Yarrowia lipolytica: one gene and its partner. The protein of the gene in region 1 interacts with the protein of each later gene in a pairwise test. Links are inferred from orthologs where the notes say so. Each region holds a gene or a part of one and is shown on either strand. Other genes may lie near its edges. The genes, in order: YALI1_E32445g and YALI1_D05633g.

Evidence for each region.
Region 2: the proteins of YALI1_E32445g (region 1) and YALI1_D05633g interact in binary tests that used the Saccharomyces cerevisiae proteins (3 or more experiments, as listed by UniProt). The link is inferred for Yarrowia lipolytica from reciprocal best matches to the Saccharomyces cerevisiae genes PTC7 and SEC14.

The regions. Positions count from the first base shown.
Region 1 is NC_090774.1:3,242,846-3,246,315, reverse strand, and holds YALI1_E32445g (uncharacterized protein), read left to right. Parts: upstream 1-1,748; coding exon 1,749-2,777; downstream 2,778-3,470. Other genes in the region: YALI1_E32461g (uncharacterized protein), read left to right, coding at 1-165, 186-1,472; YALI1_E32423g (uncharacterized protein), read right to left, coding at 2,887-3,470. UniProt on the Saccharomyces cerevisiae protein: Protein phosphatase which positively regulates biosynthesis of the ubiquinone, coenzyme Q. Dephosphorylates and activates the ubiquinone biosynthesis protein CAT5/COQ7. Also dephosphorylates CIT1 on 'Ser-462', which leads to its activation.
Region 2 is NC_090773.1:561,338-566,188, reverse strand, and holds YALI1_D05633g (uncharacterized protein), read left to right. Parts: upstream 1-1,811; coding exon 1,812-1,829; intron 1,830-2,294; coding exon 2,295-2,302; intron 2,303-2,827; coding exon 2,828-4,280; downstream 4,281-4,851. Other genes in the region: YALI1_D05692g (uncharacterized protein), read left to right, coding at 1-326. UniProt on the Saccharomyces cerevisiae protein: Required for transport of secretory proteins from the Golgi complex. Catalyzes the transfer of phosphatidylinositol (PI) and phosphatidylcholine (PC) between membranes in vitro. Essential for viability and secretion.

The DNA of each region.
Region 1 (3,470 bases):
AAATTGATTCTCAAGCTCGATCTCCTTTTGACATGTTACTCTCTGGCAGTCTACTGGGTCAAGTATCTAGACCAGACCAATGTCAACAATGCTTATGTCAGCGGTATGAGAGAAGACTTGGGTTTCAAGGGTAACGACTTGGTCAATGTACAGGCCATGTACCTGGTGGGAGAGTTGTTTTCCAGCTTCCCTTCATGTTCATGCTTCCCAAAGTGCCGCTAAATATTGTCATTCCTGCCATGGATCTCTGTTGGGGTATCATGACTCTCTTGTGTTGCAAGATCCATTCTGTCGCAGCTCTCAAGGTGATTCGATTTTTTGTTGGAGTTTTCGAGTCTGGATTTGTGCCAACTGCATATTTCCTCATGGGCTCGTGGTACAAGCCATCTGAGGTCGCTCGCCGAGCAGGTTTCTTCTACATGGGCCAGTTTCTTGGTCTGCTGAGTTCGGGTCTACTGGCTAGTGCAGCCCTTGATCTAGATGGAGTTGGAGGATTTGAGGGGTGGAGATGGGTGTTCATCGTGGACGCCATTGCAACTCTTCCACTGGCTGTCATTGGCTTCTTTGTCATTCCAGGAACCCCAGACAAATGTGTTTCGCTGTTTTTGACGGACGATGAAATCCGAAGATGTCGACTAAGAATGAAACCATATGCTACCGAAACTACCGCGGTGGAGAAGAAGAAGTTCTTCTCTTGGGAGCTCTGGAAACCTCTCCTCACTACCTGGCGCATGCCACTACTGGTACTGGTGGCCTGCATATTCTTCAACAACAATAGTGGAACATCTGGTTCTTTCATCCTCTGGCTGAAAAGTCTTACGGACTCGGAAGGAAACCAGAGATACACAAACCAGAAGATTAACCAGTTGTCGTCTGTGGCACCAGGTCTTGGTTTTGTGTACGTCTACTCGGCATCTCTTTTTGCAGACATGTTCAAATGTCGATGGGGAGCCATTGCCATCACCCAGACCCTCAACTTCATAGGCTGCGTGATTCTGGCAGTATGGGACGTGTCGGAAGCTGCAAAGTGGTTTGCCTTCTGTCTACAATACACGTCCTGGTCCATGAGTCCATCCTACTTCGGCTGGGTTAGTGACATTATGAGACACGATCCACAGGCATATGCCATTGTGATTGTGGCCATGAATATGATGGGCCAGTCCACCCAGGCATGGGTGTCTGTTCTGGTTTTCCCCACTGAGGAATCACCTCGATTTACCAAGGGTTTCGCAACTTGTGCTGCCTGTGCCTTCGGTTGCGTTGTTGGAGGTATTGCGGTTCTTTATTTCTACAAGCGAGATGAGAAGCGAATCTGCCACAAGAACGGCATCATTCTAGTTGGCTCCGCCGTGGAGTGTATCGAAGCCGAGAAGGACAACACCACCGACAGGAAGGAGAGTATCAAGGGAGACGACATCAAGGTGGACGATATCAGAGTCTCTGCCTCGTCCGAAAGTGTCAACTATCAGTAATGTATGTTTTGAGTATCTGTTTGAATCTACAATAGTGTGTAACGTAAGTGGTCTCACTGTACACATCTGATCAGCTTTTTTAGCACTTCTCGTATCCGTGTCTTTCTACAGTTGCTCCCACATGCATTTGTTTTTGGGTGTCCGTGCTCTGCTGTTGGTGTGCACGCACCTCAACTCTAAAAGCATTTCTTTTCGGAGAGCCTATTTTTATTCGACTGTGAAACTGTGAGGTGTGTTCCTGGATAAATCCTACACTTGGCCCCCCTAACAAAAGCCATGTTCCGACCAACCCGACTACCCCGAATCCAGCTTCTGAAGCCACTCTTCTCTAGGCGCTTTCTCAGCTACACAATCGCCGAGGCCTACAGCGCGAAGCCCCGGCCACCTCACCAGCAGTCCAAACCTCCGGCTGGAGAAAACAGACCGCCTACCGGAGAAGATGCATTTTTCCATGTTTCGCTGAGCAAGACGGACTCGCCCGATTCATACACATACAGCAACACGGCGTTTGGCGTCACCGACGGCGTGGGCGGCTGGGCAGAAATGGGAGTCAATTCCTCCGATTTCAGCTACTACCTATGCCACGAGAGCTCCAATCTGGCTGTGGAGAAGGCTAAGGAGATCGAGAAGGAGCCTGCATTCGCTGAAAAGCCCCTAGCCTCACTCATTTCCCCCAAACAGCTGCTCACCAACGCCTACAACAAGATTGTCCGGGAAAAGACCGTCAAGGCAGGAGGAAGCACAGCATGCATTGGGGTCGCTGGTCAGGACGGCCAGGTGGCTGTTGCCAACCTCGGAGACTCCGGATTCATGGTTTTCCGTAACGGCAAGCTTGCTGGAGGCTCGAAAGCGCAGACTCATGCCTTCAACACCCCTTACCAGCTGGCTATCATCCCTGATGAACTCAAGCGAAGTGATGAACGACAGGGTCTGCGTCACATTGAGGACACTCCCGCAATGGCCGATCAGTTCTCTTTCACTGCCGAGCCTGGGGATGTCATTGTGCTTGCTACTGACGGTCTCACCGACAACATGAGCGCTCAGGACACCCTCAAGATTGTCAACGAAACCATGCTGGAGCACGGATCGTGGATCAAGGACGACAAGGAGGGCATCAAGTCCAGCGGTGAACACAAGGGTGCCATGGATCTAGCGCGGCGAATCGTGCTAAAGGCCAAGTCGCTAAGCACCAATAAGCAGCATCTTTCTCCGTTTGCCAAGGAGGTGCAGCAGGTGATGAAAGTGCACTACATGGGAGGCAAGCCCGACGATATCACAGTGCTTGTTGTTATTGTCAATGAATAAAAAGACTCTGCCTAAATCAGTCAGGCGGACATTCACATTGCATACGGTATACATAGCTGCAAAAATACATAATTTGGGCATTGGATTATTCAAATGTGTCTATGGTTGTCTACAACTTGGCCTTTTCGTAAGTGGGATAGTCAATGTATCCAACTGGACCGGAGGAGTAGAAAGTCTTTCGATTGTAAGGATTGAGCTTCTCGTCCTTCTCCAGTCGTTCAACGAGATCGGGAGTACTGATGAAGAATCGGCCGAACGCAACCAGAGTAAGGGGGTCAGAAGCCGCAGCCTCGAGAGCAGTTTCTCGAGTGAAACCTCCAGCTCGAACAAGAGGACCCTTCCAGATCTTTCGGAAAGGCTCGTTGGTCTGCCACGCAATATCCTCCCGCTTGGTCTTGGTGCCATTGACTCGGGGCTCAATGAGATGCACGTAGGCTAGCTTCTGGCCATTGTCTGCTCGCTTTTGGAGCTGACGGAAGATGTATTCAAAAGTGGGGAGCGTGTTGACCTGATCAACCTCGACGTCCTGAACGTCGGTCCAGGGGGACAGTCGGATCGCCAGTTTGTCTGAACCGATGGAGGCAGAAATGGCGTCCACGATCTCCAGAGAAAACCGACATCGGTTTTCTATACTTCCTCCGTACTCGTCTGTTCGGTGATTAGAATTCCAGTGAATGAACTGATCGGGCAGAT
Region 2 (4,851 bases), on another chromosome or scaffold:
CGCGAGTCGTGCACCAGAACGGCTCGGACTCGGTTGGCAAGGTGCTTACCAAGCGGGTGGAAGGTCACTTTCTCTATTCTCATGCGCGGCTCAAAAACATGGATCCTCCTGCGTCGGTGGAGACCATTGCGGGTTTCGATTCGGCCGTAGAGCATCTAACGGAGCGCATGGGGACTGTATGGAAGACGCATTACGAGAGCCATGCGCATGGGTATTTGGACATGGTGCACCACCTGCGGCCGGACCTCAAGCCCGCGGTGATTACTAGACTTAGATTCAAGACTGTGAGGCCCAAGGAGCGACGAGTGCGGCCTCACTTCCGGTAGAAAAGTTTGTGAAGGGGTTGTGAAGGGGCTGTGGAGGATTTATGTATTTAACAGTGACTCAACTCACCATCTACTGTATCTTTAAGCTTATCGCTGCCTGATTATGTACATACATACCGGTTGGTGTATATCGTTGGGACTTACAGTACATAGTATTATACAATAGCATGCATTGTATCGTATCGTGGTCGGAGATAGCGCCATGCCATTGCTGTAGTTCGAATAACGCAATGATTTGTTCTTACATGAATGAAGAGAGTAACAGCAGTCCAATTGACAAGGCTCTTTCATCAGGCAGATAGTGCGGCCATCTACTCCTACTGGGCAAAGTTTGGATACTACTCCTTGAGCAACAACTCTATGAGCTCATCCATTGCACGTGTAGCTAAGTTTGGCCGCTCAATGGCAGCACCAGTAATTATCCGGCTCGCTTGTCGTGTCTGAGGCTTGTTACCTGTGCTTGTGTTGCTGCGGCCGGGTCTCTTTGCAGCTCTCAGGCTGCGGCCTGCTGTTCTAGAAAGATAGTCTCAGAGCGAGCTGTAGACGGAACATCCGTGCGTGTCTATAGTTAGTGTACAATCCGTTTAAGACACGTTTCGGAGCTCGTGATGTAATTCACCGGAGGCTTGGCTACTTTTTTTGGGTACATCTGCTAACGTTAACCATGTCTCGGATAAGAGCCATGTGATGAGCTGAAGTGATTGGGCGTTGCACAACTCTCCTTAGACATTGTAGCGTGATATGGTAGTGTTAATTACAAGAATGGACACCAGATACACCAGACGCTACAGCACACTGTCGGCATACACAGATCACACAGTACGGGAGCCGAGATGTTTGGGTCTTGGAGCCGCCTCACCACCTCTAATGTCAGCCGCCTGGTACTTTGTAGCCGCACAGAAAACTACGGTACATACTGTACTTGAACTAGTCGTTGTAATGTCTGGCAGCCGTTTTGCAGGTCTGGATTGCTGGATTGCTGTGGCCCAAAGCCAGAAAAGGGTCCACGTCAGGCCCCTCAAGGTTTCTCGGACCAAACAAACAACAAAAGGCTGTCTTCTTCCGGACTGCAGTTAGTAAGCACACGGGAGATCGGAGCTGAGGCCTCGGACAACCGTCATTGTTTGAGAGTGGAATGTAATGTGTCTGAATGGGGGAGAAGGGAACGCCGAACAAAGGTCTTCGTTCAGGATACGTGTCATCCCCGCAGCGCCAAATGTAACCCTTGATGGAGAAGGAGTGTGTGGTGAGCTAAAAGCCGCACTATTTTTTTCTTCTTCTCTCGCAAAGGGCGTATATAGACTTCTGCTCTCTTGTCAGATTGTCAACGTTGTTGTGCCAGATTAAAAAAAAATTCCACAATCACACGTTGTTGGGAGTTTCGAATTGCATAAAACCACATTACAACGTTTTTACGATTCTTTCCTCCAAAAGTCTGCATTGCTTTCTTCGAGGTCCACGATACACAATTGATTGAGACGCAAAATGACTGTTACCGAGCAAGTGAGTGTGTTTATGTCTGTCGGGCGGTGGCAGCAACGGGTTGCACGGAGGGAGATACCACGACCGCCACCACTGTCAAGGTCGCAACCAAGGGCTTTTTTTCAGGGGACGCCAGCAAACAGCTGAGCAACGACATGCTGAGAGCACGACAACGGCACCAAACCAGCACATTAGGGGCTGGGGACAATAGCGAAACGAGAGCTCAATATCCAGTTTCGGTGTTGTGTTCTTTCCTTCTGGAGGTTGTTGTACCTGCCTTCATGGGGAGTTCCCGCCCTAACACGCGCTTATGGGGCTGTGTTTACGCGTCATGCACCTTATGACATACGTGGAAGCAACAGCCGTACTGGCCTGGCGGGTGCGGGCGAATTCGGACAGCTGGAGGTGCAATGGTCATGCCAGTGGCAACCCCAGTGTCGGGATATGCTATGCTCATATCCAATCATTGATTCATCGCTAACTCAGGAATTTCTGTGAGTAGTCCCAACTGGACTGAGACATTTATGATGGGGATTTGGGAGAGACAAAAAGTGGCACAACAAGAATGACACAAAATGGGGCTTAAAAACGACAACCCACGACAATGCGGCGTTTACATTCGACAACTTATTTGAGGACTTGTTTTTTTGGGAGACTCATTTCACACCACTCTACTTGACACGACTCCATTCCTTTCGACACACAGCTCCCAAAAGTTAGTTTCCCACGCCATCTGTCGGATTTATTTTGCCTTTCGGATTTAGCGCGCGACTCGGACATAACATGGGCGGGCGATTGAGCGATTGAGCTTCTGAAAAAGCCGCCTTATCGCGTTGAAATCGTGTTGCCCCCTTTCTGCGAATGGTCCCAGTCGCCCAGGTCGCGTTTTGTGTCATCCAAAATTATTCCCTTTGTTCTCAACCGTGATTGACCTGCATGCCCAGCCGCTTTCGGTGATGTCAAAAAAAAGTGATAGGAGACACAATAACTGTGGACTCGCGAATAGATTACTAACTCAGCGCATCGTATCCCCAGAAGGTCGCCCCTGGTGGACCTACCGGCTACCCCGGTAACCTGACAGCCGAGCAGGAGCAGAAGCTCGGTGAGCTTAAGATGATCCTGCTGACCAAGGGTTACGAAGATCGAACCGATGACGCCACGTTGCTGCGGTTCCTGCGAGCCCGAAAGTTCGATGTGCCTCTGGCCCAAGAAATGTGGGAGAACTGCGAAAAGTGGAGAAAGGAGTTCGGCACCAACACAATTCTGGAGGACTTTTGGTACAAGGAGAAGAAGGAGGTGGCCAAGCTGTACCCCCAGTACTACCACAAGACCGACAAGGACGGCCGACCCGTCTACGTCGAGAACGTGGGTAAGGTGAACATCCACGAAATGTACAAGATCACCACCCAGGAGCGAATGCTTCGAAACCTCGTGTGGGAGTACGAGTCGTTTGTTCGACACCGACTGCCCGCCTGTTCTCGAGTTGTTGGACATCTCATTGAGACCTCATGCACCATTCTTGATCTCAAGGGAGTTTCTCTGTCGTCGGCCTCCCAGGTCTACGGCTTCCTCAAGGATGCCTCCAACATTGGCCAGAACTACTACCCCGAGCGAATGGGTAAGTTCTACCTGATTAACGCGCCGTTTGGTTTCTCCACCGTCTTCTCCGTCATCAAGCGATTCCTGGACCCCGTCACCGTGTCCAAGATCCACGTGTACGGCTCCAACTACAAGGAGAAGCTCCTGGCCCAGGTCCCCGCCTACAACCTACCCATCAAGTTTGGCGGCCAGTCCTCCTCCAAGATCGGTGTTGAACTCTCTGACGACGGCCCCTGGAGAGATCCCCAGTTTGTCGGCCCCGAGGGCTTGGCCCCCGTGGCTGGTGAGCGACCCACCGGTGCCCCCTCCATCGTCTCCAACTCCTCCACCTACGCCAAGTCCACTGCTTCCACCAAGGTCGGTGCTGACGACAAGGCCACTGACGCAAAGGCCAACGGTAACGGAGCTGCTGCTGCCGCTGCCGGAGCTGGAACTGCTGCTGCTGGCGGTGCTGCTGCTGCTGCTGGAGCTTCTTCTTCCAAGCAGGCTGCTCCTGCCCAGGCTGCTCCTGCCCAGGCCGCCAAGGCTCCCGTTCCCGCTGCTGCCAAGACCGCCACTGCCCCTGCCCCCACCGGCAAGACTGCTGCACCTCAGACCAACTCGTTCCCTCCCGAAATGCTTGCCATGATGGAGCAGAATGAAAAGAAGGCTGAGAAGGCCGCCGAGGCCAAGACCAAGGGAGGGGCTGCTCCCCAGGCCAATGCCTTCACCGACGAGCAGCTCGCACAGCTCAACTCGCTGCCCCAGCAGGTGGCCACAGGAGGAGTGTCCCAGCCCCTTCCTGATTCGCATGTTACCCAGGGAGTCCCCACGGTCGCCAAGATTGCCGAGGCTGCCGCCGGTCCCCATGAGGATGCCCATCTTCCCCATTAAGACAAAAAAACACACGTAATTGGAGTACTTTTATTGACCTGAAATTAGAAAATCGCGTTAGGTGGAGCTTGTAGATGATTCGGTAACATGTAGCTGCAACTAGTCGATAGCAACGAGAGGTACAGTACATACGGTAGAAGTATGTGAATCGTGATTTGATGTGTTCCCGCTCGCGCTAAAGGGAGAGTATTCGTCAGTTGTGTGTACAAACATGGAGTTACTACTGTACACTGTACACTCGATACTGATCTTACTTGAACTGTAACTCCTTGTAGTAGTTCGTGTTTCACGGGTGATTAAAAAACACTGCGAGTGTTTTCTTGTGGTCAGGCTTAACATGATCGAGAGCCACAACCAGATTTTCCAGTCATCGTAGCGCAGTATGCGACTTCGGGTGCTATTCACAGTCTTTCGGATATGCGAACTCGTTCGGCTCTCTCCAATGACTTCTCCAGTAATTGTTGAAGTAATATCCAACAAAAATCCCAACGAACACCACGTGAGCGTAAGCACCAAAACGGAACTATCTTAGGAAATTAATACTACACGGGGTAGATGTTCGTGAATATCT